Danio rerio: one gene and its partner. The protein of the gene in region 1 purifies or fractionates together with the protein of each later gene. This does not show direct contact. Links are inferred from orthologs where the notes say so. Each region holds a gene or a part of one and is shown in the gene's direction. Other genes may lie near its edges.

The links.
Region 2: the proteins of zc3h18 (region 1) and rbbp6 purify together in Homo sapiens (affinity purification with mass spectrometry; 3 studies listed by BioGRID and IntAct, counting the BioPlex papers as one, with this or other methods). This does not show direct contact. The link is inferred for Danio rerio from reciprocal best matches to the Homo sapiens genes ZC3H18 and RBBP6.

The regions. Positions count from the first base shown.
Region 1 is NC_133193.1:18,511,878-18,517,223, reverse strand, and holds part of zc3h18 (zinc finger CCCH domain-containing protein 18), read left to right. Parts: intron 1-1,883; coding exon 1,884-2,170; intron 2,171-5,346.
Region 2 is NC_133178.1:34,269,800-34,275,145, forward strand, and holds part of rbbp6 (E3 ubiquitin-protein ligase RBBP6), read left to right. Parts: intron 1-1,600; coding exon 1,601-1,639; intron 1,640-2,710; coding exon 2,711-2,799; intron 2,800-2,879; coding exon 2,880-2,976; intron 2,977-3,127; coding exon 3,128-3,270; intron 3,271-3,380; coding exon 3,381-3,553; intron 3,554-3,632; coding exon 3,633-3,736; intron 3,737-3,841; coding exon 3,842-4,197; intron 4,198-4,305; coding exon 4,306-4,381; intron 4,382-4,592; coding exon 4,593-4,653; intron 4,654-4,725; coding exon 4,726-4,780; intron 4,781-4,861; coding exon 4,862-5,236; intron 5,237-5,346. UniProt on the Homo sapiens protein: E3 ubiquitin-protein ligase which promotes ubiquitination of YBX1, leading to its degradation by the proteasome.

The DNA.
Region 1 (5,346 bases):
TGTCAGATATAACATAAACCAACAAGTAAACAAGTGAACAAACAAACCAAAAGGCTTCTTAGTATTTTTCATCAGAATACAATATCACCTCTTTTACTAATCACCTAGTAAAACATTTCCAATTCCACCATCTTTAAAAAAAAATAAAAGGTCCCCAAACTCTATCAAAAATTATGTATTAATTTCTTTAAGGTTCACAAAACCCTTGAGTACTTTTTTTGAGATTTGAACAAATTTGTGTGTATTGAGCATCAGGTAGGACAATGTTAGCATCTGTTAGCTTTAATTGTGGGGAAAACTGGATAATTTTTTGAGCTTTTGTCAGCTAATTTCAGCTTCCGGGTTTAAAATGATTTTTGGGGCAGGATCAAAATTGGTTTCTCATGACTATTCCTAGTTTTCTTATGCTATAAGAAGAGCCAGCTTCTTAATTATTTATGAGAGCATGTGCTTTCCGAAGGCAAGGCAGACCTGCCAGTGCCAAGCTGTGAGATCCTACGTTGATGACTGGGTAAGACGCGTCCATGGACCCACGGCACACAGTATTTAGCTGTTCATGAAGGGTCGTATGTGTTTGTTTCCTTGATCCACAGGTTTTTTTTGCATGTTTTTTCCCCGCGACCCTGTCAGGGACTATACAGCAAAGCTGTGTGTGCTGCAAGCATTTTTGTCAGGAGAGCAGTACGAGAATTGGAGAATGGTGGACTTTATCTTTTATCAGGAGTCCATTCACATTTAGACACATCAATGTGCTGCTGTGTTTGCCTAAATCCTCTAGATTATCAGCTGGGCTAATGGTTAAATTAGACAGGGCAAGAGACCTGCTGCACTGAGTCTGCATTCAGACCCGGGGATTGAGGGAAAAGTCTTTATTTATAGTGTTTATATGAACACGATTATCTTTATAATGATATAAATTGTGGTTATGTGTTTATGGAATTACAAATGTAGCAAGGCTTAAATTACTGTTTATTTCTTTGCATTTTAATGCCTCAACCATCTCAGTATTAGTGTTATTATATTGTTAATGACCTCCAGAATCAAGAGCTTCTGTGCTTCGTGTCTGACACCTTCAAATGCCACCGCGCATTTACTGAGTGTCAGGATTGTGTTCTGAGGCGCCAAGTCATCTATTAGATGAAAAGATTGACGCAGCTTCTCCCACTGCAGCAAATTTAGTTTTTACTGTTGGTGTTTGGTGCCAGTTAATTTTTGTAGGCTTTGACTAGTTGGATGGAAACGCTGCTTTGTTTGCGCGGCTTTTATGAGATAGTCTAGTTTTACACATAAAGTTCATTCGCATTATTGGATGGAAACATACCTGTTGTCAGCTTTGTTCTCTTCACTACTTGTCATGTTTACTGTCATCCATTTAAACGTACAAATTTGAACTGGTAAAAACCGGTGGAGATCGTTGCTCTTGTTTGCCACTAGTACACGTTAAGTCAATTAAACTCAAGTTTATTTATATAGTGCTTTTTACAATAATTGTTTCAAAGCAGCTTTACGGTTAATCAAGTGGGCAGTACACACAACTGTTAGCTGTTACATAAAACATTTATCATGAATCTATTCACTTAAAATCCCAACTGATTGGAATTGTCACACACTTGCATCAATTTTCAACCCATTCCCCTGAGTCATTACATCCCTGATCATGTCTTTTCTGGAGACTTGCGGATCAAACTAGATGAATCAGTTTGGTTTATATATTACATATTAGCTGATACTTAAGAGCAAAGGTTTTGATGTCCAAAGTTATATTACATAATAGTGACATGTATTTAATTGACAAAAATAATGACATTTAAGTTGCTGTATTTTGATCAGAATCTAGTGTTCATTTCAAATGCTAAACATAGAGATTTTTTTGTTTTTATCAGGACCGAGAGCGGGAACGAGATCCACGTGAGCGGCACCGTGAGAGGGAGCGGGAGCGTGAGAGAGACCACCGTGAACGGGAGCGCAGACAGAGAGAGCGAGAGAGGGAGAGAGAACGGGAACGGGAGAAGGACAGCCGACGTAGGAAGGATGAATGGGACAGGGATCGTCTGAAACGAGACGAAAAGGAGGGAAGGCCGAGAGAAAGACCTCTTCGAGAGCCAAGAGAGAAAAAAGACGAGAAGGAGAAGACGCTCAAACCACGATCGCCCACAAACATGCCACCAAGGTGAGTTAAAAAAATTCACAATACTCTCAATTGGGATACTAACAAAGGAGTCATAGTGTCTAATGCTCGTTGCACATTAAAAAGCAAAAAAATCTGTGCAGATTTATACCAGTTTGTATAGTATAATTTGCTATGTAGCTTACTTGTGCGCAATTTTTGAATCTGAAAAGGAGGATTACAACACTGTAAAAAATTATTGATGCTTCAACTTTTTTGTCATCTCAACTTGCATTTATCTTGCATTTTTTTTATTACAACTAAGTTATGCTATTTATCATTTGTTTTCTTATTTATGAATTTTTCTTATTATATTACTTTGTCTTGTAATAAAAATGCAAAAGAAACAAAAATTGGAAGTCTTTCACCATCAAGCATTTATTTTCTTTCTTACTCAATTAATCGCATCAAAAATTAACATCTGTATCCTACAAGAAACTTGGTTTAACTTTAAAAAGTTTTGTTTGATTTGATTAACTTATTAAGATAAGTTAAAGCAACATAAAAATATTTGTTTTGACTTTTTGTCATTACATTTTTTTTTACAGTAATAGCTTTTTTGGGTTAAGTTCATAGGTAGATAATATTTAGAGTTAATTAATTGTTTCTTCAATGCAGACGCAAACAATTTGGTATCGGTTCAGTAACCGTACACAATTCATTGCTTATGAGTACATCAGAGAAGTACATCAGAACCCAGCTAGGAATAAATAAAAGCTGTAAACTCTTTTTCACTCACTCTCTGTGGCCGCTTTGACCTGCTGGCATGATCATGAGATAATGTTTTATCTCCTTTTTTGGCTGTTACAACATTAACCAGACTTCCGAGTTTTACACAAATTTTTTCTTGTGATTTATTTTTCATTTTATTTATTTATTTATTATATTTATTGCAATTAAATATGACTATATATATATATATATATATATATATATATATATATATATATATATATATATATATATATATATATATATATAATTTACCATATTAGGCAGCCTGCTGTGTTAGGTGTGCAATCTTACACAATGACACAAATTATAAAAAAAAAGCTTTTTTTTATTTTGGTCTCAGACAAGATCAGATCTAAAACAGTAAGGATTAAGCCAAAGGAAGGTTGTATAACTCTTATTTTAGCCACAATCTTAGTTTCTCTCAGATTTCACTCCCTAGAGCATTTGACATCATCTCGCTCCCGCGAGTTATTTGGAAATAAATTCCCGCGCCGCAGAAATCTGGTCGGGTCCCGCATGATCTGCATGATCATGCTCTGGTCGAATGCAGACCTCTAGTCTGAAGTGCATCAAATGCAAAAAAAGCACAATTTGTGCCACAGGATGTCTAATCCAATCTTTGCAGTGACTTCACATGTAAATCACTCGCGCTTCATCCACATCTGCTCACTGCACAGGCTGCAAAATAATTTCTCCCCCACTCCCATGTAATGAGAGATACTCTAATACATCACGTGTGCTGCGTATGCATTGTCTGTAAGTCTTGTAAAACAATTAATTGCAAACTGAAATAAATATAATTTGATTATATGAATGTTTTATGAGATTATATATGTATTTTTGCGAGTTTTATTTTGCATTCAAATTAGGAATTTTGCAGGATGAGGATTCAGCAATTGTGGAATCAAGAAAAACTAGGGGGTCTGAATAACTATACTTGTGGATCCAGATACGAGCGTGTCTGCAGATCGGGCTTTCTCCTCTGCTTTGCTGTTTATAGGGGATCAGCTGATCGCTGAGGCCGTTTAACATCTGTGTCTGTCACTGTTTGCTAAAAAGCGCAAGAGCCAAAAGCAGCCCTTTCTGTTGAATGCGTAATTAATCACAGGCGTTTAAGAACTCGCTCAACAACGCTCAAAAAGCAAGCGGGATATTATTTACATTAGTATATTTGCTATAACTGCTCGTGTTTTTTTGTGCATGTTCTTGAGTTTTGCTTGATGCATTTAAGAAGAGTGTTTTCTTTGAGCAGATAAAAATTAAAGGTGCAGTTCATATATCTGACTGCTTGTATTAAAGGACAAAATTGTATTATAAATAATATATAAATATAAATTTATTCATAAATTATAAATGTTTTGTACAAGAATTCATGTATTGCTAAGTAAAATATAAAACTGTGGATGGAAAGCATCGTCAATGCACCGTGATGCACCAATATATCGAATTGAACTAAATTGATGGCATGATCATCATAACCAAACCATGAGACCAGTGTAGATTCACACCCCTAGTTGATACTTATTTTTTAATGGATTCATAATTTGACTACAAAATCCTTTGGCATTTTGAATTCATTCGAGTATCTGTTTTGTTTTATGCTGGTCTGTCAGATTTTAAGTTGACACAAGCTGTGGTTTTGGATTTGCATGAACACCATATTGGTTCTTTTATTTAGAAGTGAGAAGTGCAGAAATAAGCTACAGTTTTGATGTGCTAATTGCGAGTATCTGCATTTGTGGAACTGAGAGTTCATTACAAATTGAGGAGCTAAAGACTGTTGTTACTTTCACTGTATACAGCAAGCTGTTTGGAAGTTCATGGACTCTGAATCTTCCAGCGCTATGGTCTTTCCTGACATTATCACAATAGTCTTTTCGTGTTTCCCCTCACACACTAACTTCTTTATCAATGTGCTGCACTTGCATAACCACAGACTCAGATTGCATGTTTAGATTATGGTCACTTTATGGGAAATTTCCAGGTTGTTTGTATCTCATGGCTACACCATTGTTGGTCATGACAGGTCAGCTCTTTTTTTTTCCTAGATAGAAAGAGATTCACATTTCATTAATGAAGCCAAGATTCCACAAAACATGGGCAATATTCCATCTTGTTTTTCCAGAACACCTCAAGGGGGGTCAATGATCTTTTTGTAAGCCTTTTCCAAGATACTGGTATGGTGTCATTTACCAGTCTGAGTAGAGAGAAATTCACACCTAATTGATTTGACTTCATAGAACCTTGTTGTGTCTCAAATGACTCTTATCCCATTTCTTGTGAATGTAGTAATTAAGACAGCTTGGGTAGTTTGCAGTATTGACTAAATAAATATGTATTGGGTTATACATACGGGTTAAATATGGATATGCTTTTTAACAATAGTAGCTATTGAAACAATGTTTTGCTTATTGCTTGTTTATGCTAGTACCTCAGCAGTTTTA
Region 2 (5,346 bases), on another chromosome or scaffold:
TAAACAGACTTAAGCATTCATTTAGTTGTTCAAGCATAAAACGAGATAAAATATTGTGTAGCCACTAGCGCCGTCAGGATCAGCAGACGGCGCAGAAACTAGTTGAAAATACTGGGGTAAACTCATATTTTAAAGACATGGTGGGGGAATATAGAACTTAATGCAGTGTTTCTTGTCTAGTCTGAGGACCTACTTTATATTGTATTTATCAGGCAGTAAAGATCACAGATTTTTTTTAAGAAGAAGAAATCAGAACTTAAATGTGGCAATTTTATAGTGGAAGAATAGTTCACCAGAAGCGCTGGGGCTGGCTGGCTTGCTGAAATGAAAAGTCTGTGCATATAACCCATTTATTTAATTTTCCTTTTGAAAGTGCTAATCATCGCTGTAGTTAAGGCTGATACAGACATTTTTATGCTTACACTAAAAACTTTTTACATTTGACTAGACATTGACACAACATTTTACCACAGAGATAAGATAAAATAATATTTGATGAGAGAACACCCCCTCTCCCTATATCTAATATGAATCTATTTGAGCTAATTAAAATCGTGGCAGGTTTGTTATTTTAAAATTTGTGAAATTAGTTTTTGTAAAATTTTAGTCCAGTGTATGATAAAGGACGTATTTTGGTTCAAACTGTTTTTTTTTATTATTATTCATGAGGTTGTCTTTTTAATATGAGTGATACTTGAGTACAACATATTTACAGTTTGCAACATATTTAATGAACTTTCAGACATTGTCATTCTGATTACCGATTGAGCTTAAATGTGAATTTGTTTAAACTTTTTTTGTACTTTAATGCCAGACAAATCTTTCATATTTGAATCATGTCACTGTTTGTACCTGTTTTACATTTTTGATGTGTTTTTTCCGATTGTATGCAAAACAGCTTCTGAGTTTTCCTGTGACAGCTTCTATTATGCTGTACTATTTTATGTTTATTATTGCTTTGATCAAACTTGTAGTTTTTCAATGTACATATGTGATGTTGAGACTGAAACTGCCTATAAAAGCAGTGACCTTCAAAGGGGAACTTTTATGTAGGACAGTTTGAAAAAAGTATCTCATTCCAGTGAAGTTTTAAATGCACATTTCATATTCTATATGGCCTGTTGTATTATAGTTACTTTTTATATCTGATTCAATTGCTTTTCTATTTGATTTACCTGCAAGGCTTTGCAATAAAACTTCAATGTTTAATTCCTTCAAATCTTTTTTAAGGCCCAGTCTGTTCACTTTCCTTAGGGTTTTTTGATCAATTCCTTTCTTGGTCACAAGTAATTAGCCTAATGACTATGAAGCTATACTTATTGTTTTTTCAAAACTAATTAACTCATATTTATTAACTGGTTATGATCTAGTTAAACATAACATGTAATGTTAAAATTAAATCAGGACTTAATTAAAAAACAACATAACAAAAAAAAAATAACACTTTCATGTGTCATTTAAAATTTGGTAGTAATTGTTTACGTGTTTAAATTATTTTAACTTTACACATTTGTCCAGTTTCTCACTGATGGGCATGATAAAGTTGTGCCTTGACGTAGTGGTGAACCCCTCTTTGTTTTAATGTTTTTTCCAATGACAGATTGATTCTTCATCCATTTCACTGGCCCTGCTTTCAAAGGTATTTTAAACTTTGTAACTACCTGATACACTCTGCTGTGTGTTATGTCATTGTTTTAGATTGGGCAAGCCACAATATTGGCAAAGTGTGCAAAACTTTTTTTTTTTTTTACTTTGTCACATTTGTTTATATGGTGTTATGTGAAATTTGTTGTGTAATGTGAAATTTTATGTTTTTCAGCAACTTAATTAAAATTAGTTATATTTCTGTAGTATTTCAATACTTATTTTAAATGTGTGTGTATATTGTTGCGATTTTTTTTTTTTTTTTTTTTTTTTTTTTTTTTTTTTTTTTTTTTTTTTTTTTTTTTTTTTTTTTTGGTACCTGTGTAAAAGCCTGGTCCTGTAAAGAGTAAGCACACTGCCTTATATCAGTGTGTATTGGAGAACTGTATAAGCCTCTTGACCACATTGTGGTCAAGTTGCACCCTGAAATCCTTTTTTTAATCTTTTTTTTCTTTTTTCACATTTGAGAGCCCTGCATCACTTGTTGTTCAATGAGCAATCTTAGGAAGTCATGTTCTTCATTTTTCACTCCGAAAATATTTACATGTTAACCATTGTTTTTTATATTCTTCATGCAATGACAAAAAAAAAATAATTACCAAGATTTTGCAGCATTTGCATATATGAATTTCAGACCAATGCCCTGAATATTTTTGGTGCTGTGTAGTGGTTTATGTCATGACTTAGTGTGAAATATTGTTCATTTCGCACCTTCAAAAGAGATCTACTCATCAATAAAACCGAACCATCATAAAACATCTCTTAAACCACTTTTAGTTCATGAAAGTAGCCAGTGTTGAGTCTTGCATGAGACTTGGTAACTCTTGATTATGGCTTTTTTTTTTTTTGCTGGCTTGCTGTAGTTAAAAAATTTTTTTATGCATTTTGTTTCTCATTTTTATGGTCTGAGGTGGTGCTCAATTGCCATTTTTGTACTTTTAAATAACACACTTCTATAAAGGCATAAAGCTGCTTCTTACAGGACAAGGTTTTTGTATGTATTTGGTCTACTCCGTTGAACACTCCAACATTTATTTTATTTTTGAAAACATTGCCTGTTAAACAGACAGCCAATCTTGCTGAAACAAATGCATCAGAGGAAGACAAAATAAAAGCAATGATGTCTCAGTCCAACCATGACTATGATCCAATCCAGTAAGTATGCATGTCAAGACACTGACAGGCTTTTTTAATTGGTTTCAGAATCAATTCTAACATTAATCTCTATTTGTTAGTTATGCAAAGAAGCTTGTTGGTCCGCCTCCACCAAACTATACATGCTTTCGTTGTGGGAAAACTGGACATTACATCCGAAACTGCCCAACAAATGGGGTAATTGGGTTTTCATTACCACAGCTTGTAACTTTGCAATTGTTTTGAATTTGGCAGTGCCAACTGTTGCTCCAGACTTATGTCTTTTTTTTTTATACCATTAGAATTTATCGGAGATTAAATTTAATCTTGAGTATCAATCATGCTTTAGCAGGATAGAAGTTTTGAAGCTCCTCAACGGATAAAGAAAAGCACAGGAATACCTCGGAGTTTCATGGTGGAGGTTGATGATCCAAACAGAAAAGGTGTCATGTTGACAAACAGTGGAATATATGCCATTCCTACTATTGATGCGTGAGTATGCTTGGCCTTGCTGTAAATGATTGTGATAATTTCTTGTTTACTTGTAGTATACTTGTAGTTTACTTTGTAGTTTTTAATTATATTTTGCTTGCTATGTATAGTGAGGCCTATGCCATTGGCAAAAAAGAAAAGCCACCATTCTTGCCCCAGAATCAGTCCTCATCCTCAGAGGAAGAAGATCCAGTACCTGATGAGCTGCTGTGCTTGATCTGCAAGGATCTTATGACAGATGCTGTGGTTATTCCCTGCTGTGGAAATAGTTACTGTGACGATTGTAAGTGTCTATATCAACAAATGTCAAAAAGGTAAAGTGTTTTTGACCTTGGAAAGCTAAAACTGTATTGTGACCACAGGTATTCGAACATGTTTGCTGGAATCTGAAGAACATGTTTGTCCAACCTGCAAACAATCAGATGTATCCCCCGATGCCTTGATTGCAAACAAATTCTTGCGCCAAGTAAGATATCCTTGTTTTAATTGTTGGTTAGCACATGTCTCTAGTTTTTATCTAATATTGCAACATTAAGACGACTTTATCATTCTTTTTTTTTTTCAACTTAAGGCAGTGAATAACTTTAAGAATGAAACTGGATATACCAAGAGGATTCGAAAAGCTACAGCTACTCAAGCAGTTGCTCAAGGAGCTCAAAAACAAGCTCCTGCTCAACGTCCTCCTATGAGACGCCAGCAGGATCCTCTGATACCCAGTGTTCCAAGCTCAGCGGCTGATAGCACCCCTCCACAAAGCACACCTGCTGCCCCTTTATCTCCTGTTAGCACTCACGAGCCTTCCAGCACCCCACCTTCTTCCAGCAGCTCTACTGTACACAGCAGCACTGCACCTGCAGGGTCAAACTATAGTCCTGTGGTAAACTCTCCTCCGCACCCTACTAGGCAGGATGACCCTCCTCCATCCAAGTAAGAATTTTATAGCACTTCAGATGATCGCTTGGTTGTGTAATTTGTGAATGACTGGTTTTACCTTTGGCTTGTGCAGTTATTGAATTTTTACCCTGTGTTTTTCAGAGAACCAGAGACCCCACCATCTGCTGTTATACCTTCATCTGAGACATCTATGTCTACAAATTCTGCTGTTCCAAAGGTATTTTTTCCTCCTTTTAGTATGTGCTTTTAAAATTACTAATGCCAGAGGGGAGTACACTAACTTTGAAAGCCACAAACGATGTTGAGAACATAAGTACTGCAGTTGTAAAACAATAAATGTCCTGATATTTCTGATACAATATGACCTATGTCAGTTGACCCTCTTCTATAAGCACAGTTTATTGATTCCTTTTATTTGTATTATCTAGGGATATCATGTCCCTGTAATTGGAAAACCGAGTTTGCCTCAGCAGCACATGCACAGACCAGGTAAGATGATAACAGCAAGTCTTCTGATATTTATTGTCTGTAGACAATATTTAATTTGTACATTTTTTTTAGGACCCCAAAGGAGTAGTGGTCAAAGGCCATCTGGAAGTCGTTCTGGATGGGATCCGTAAGTATCAAAGTGTAATCTAATACATTTTAGTTTTAAACAACAAATGTGAAAAATCCTGACTTTTATTTATCCTACCAGGTCCACGAGTAGAGGTAGACTTCAGAGTGAGAGGCCACCAAGAATACAGCCTCAACCAGTGCAAAATCTTCCTCCTGTAGTCCCTCCAGTATTTGTGCCCCCTGCTCTTTTTCCACCTCCTCCACATCCTATGCCACAGCCACCTGTTGTTGTTTCTCAGCAATATCCCATACAATTTCCTCAAGGACAGCAGCCACCACCTCCTTCCTTCAACATTCCTCCTCCTGTATTTCCTCCTGTTCCACCTAATGTGACTGCTCCATGGGTGCCTCCTGGCCCTCAGCCACCTATAGCCAACCCTATCTCTGCTATGCCAGCTGCACCTTTTCTATCCAAGGAGGAGTTTTATCGTCAGCAGCGTCGATTGAAGGAGGAGTAAGTAGTTATTGGGTTTTTAAGTATTGTCTGTAGAGTATTATTCTTCTTTGCCCGTGCTTATTGTCATTTCTGTTGTAATGTATTTCCAAGGTTTAACTGCAAAGTTT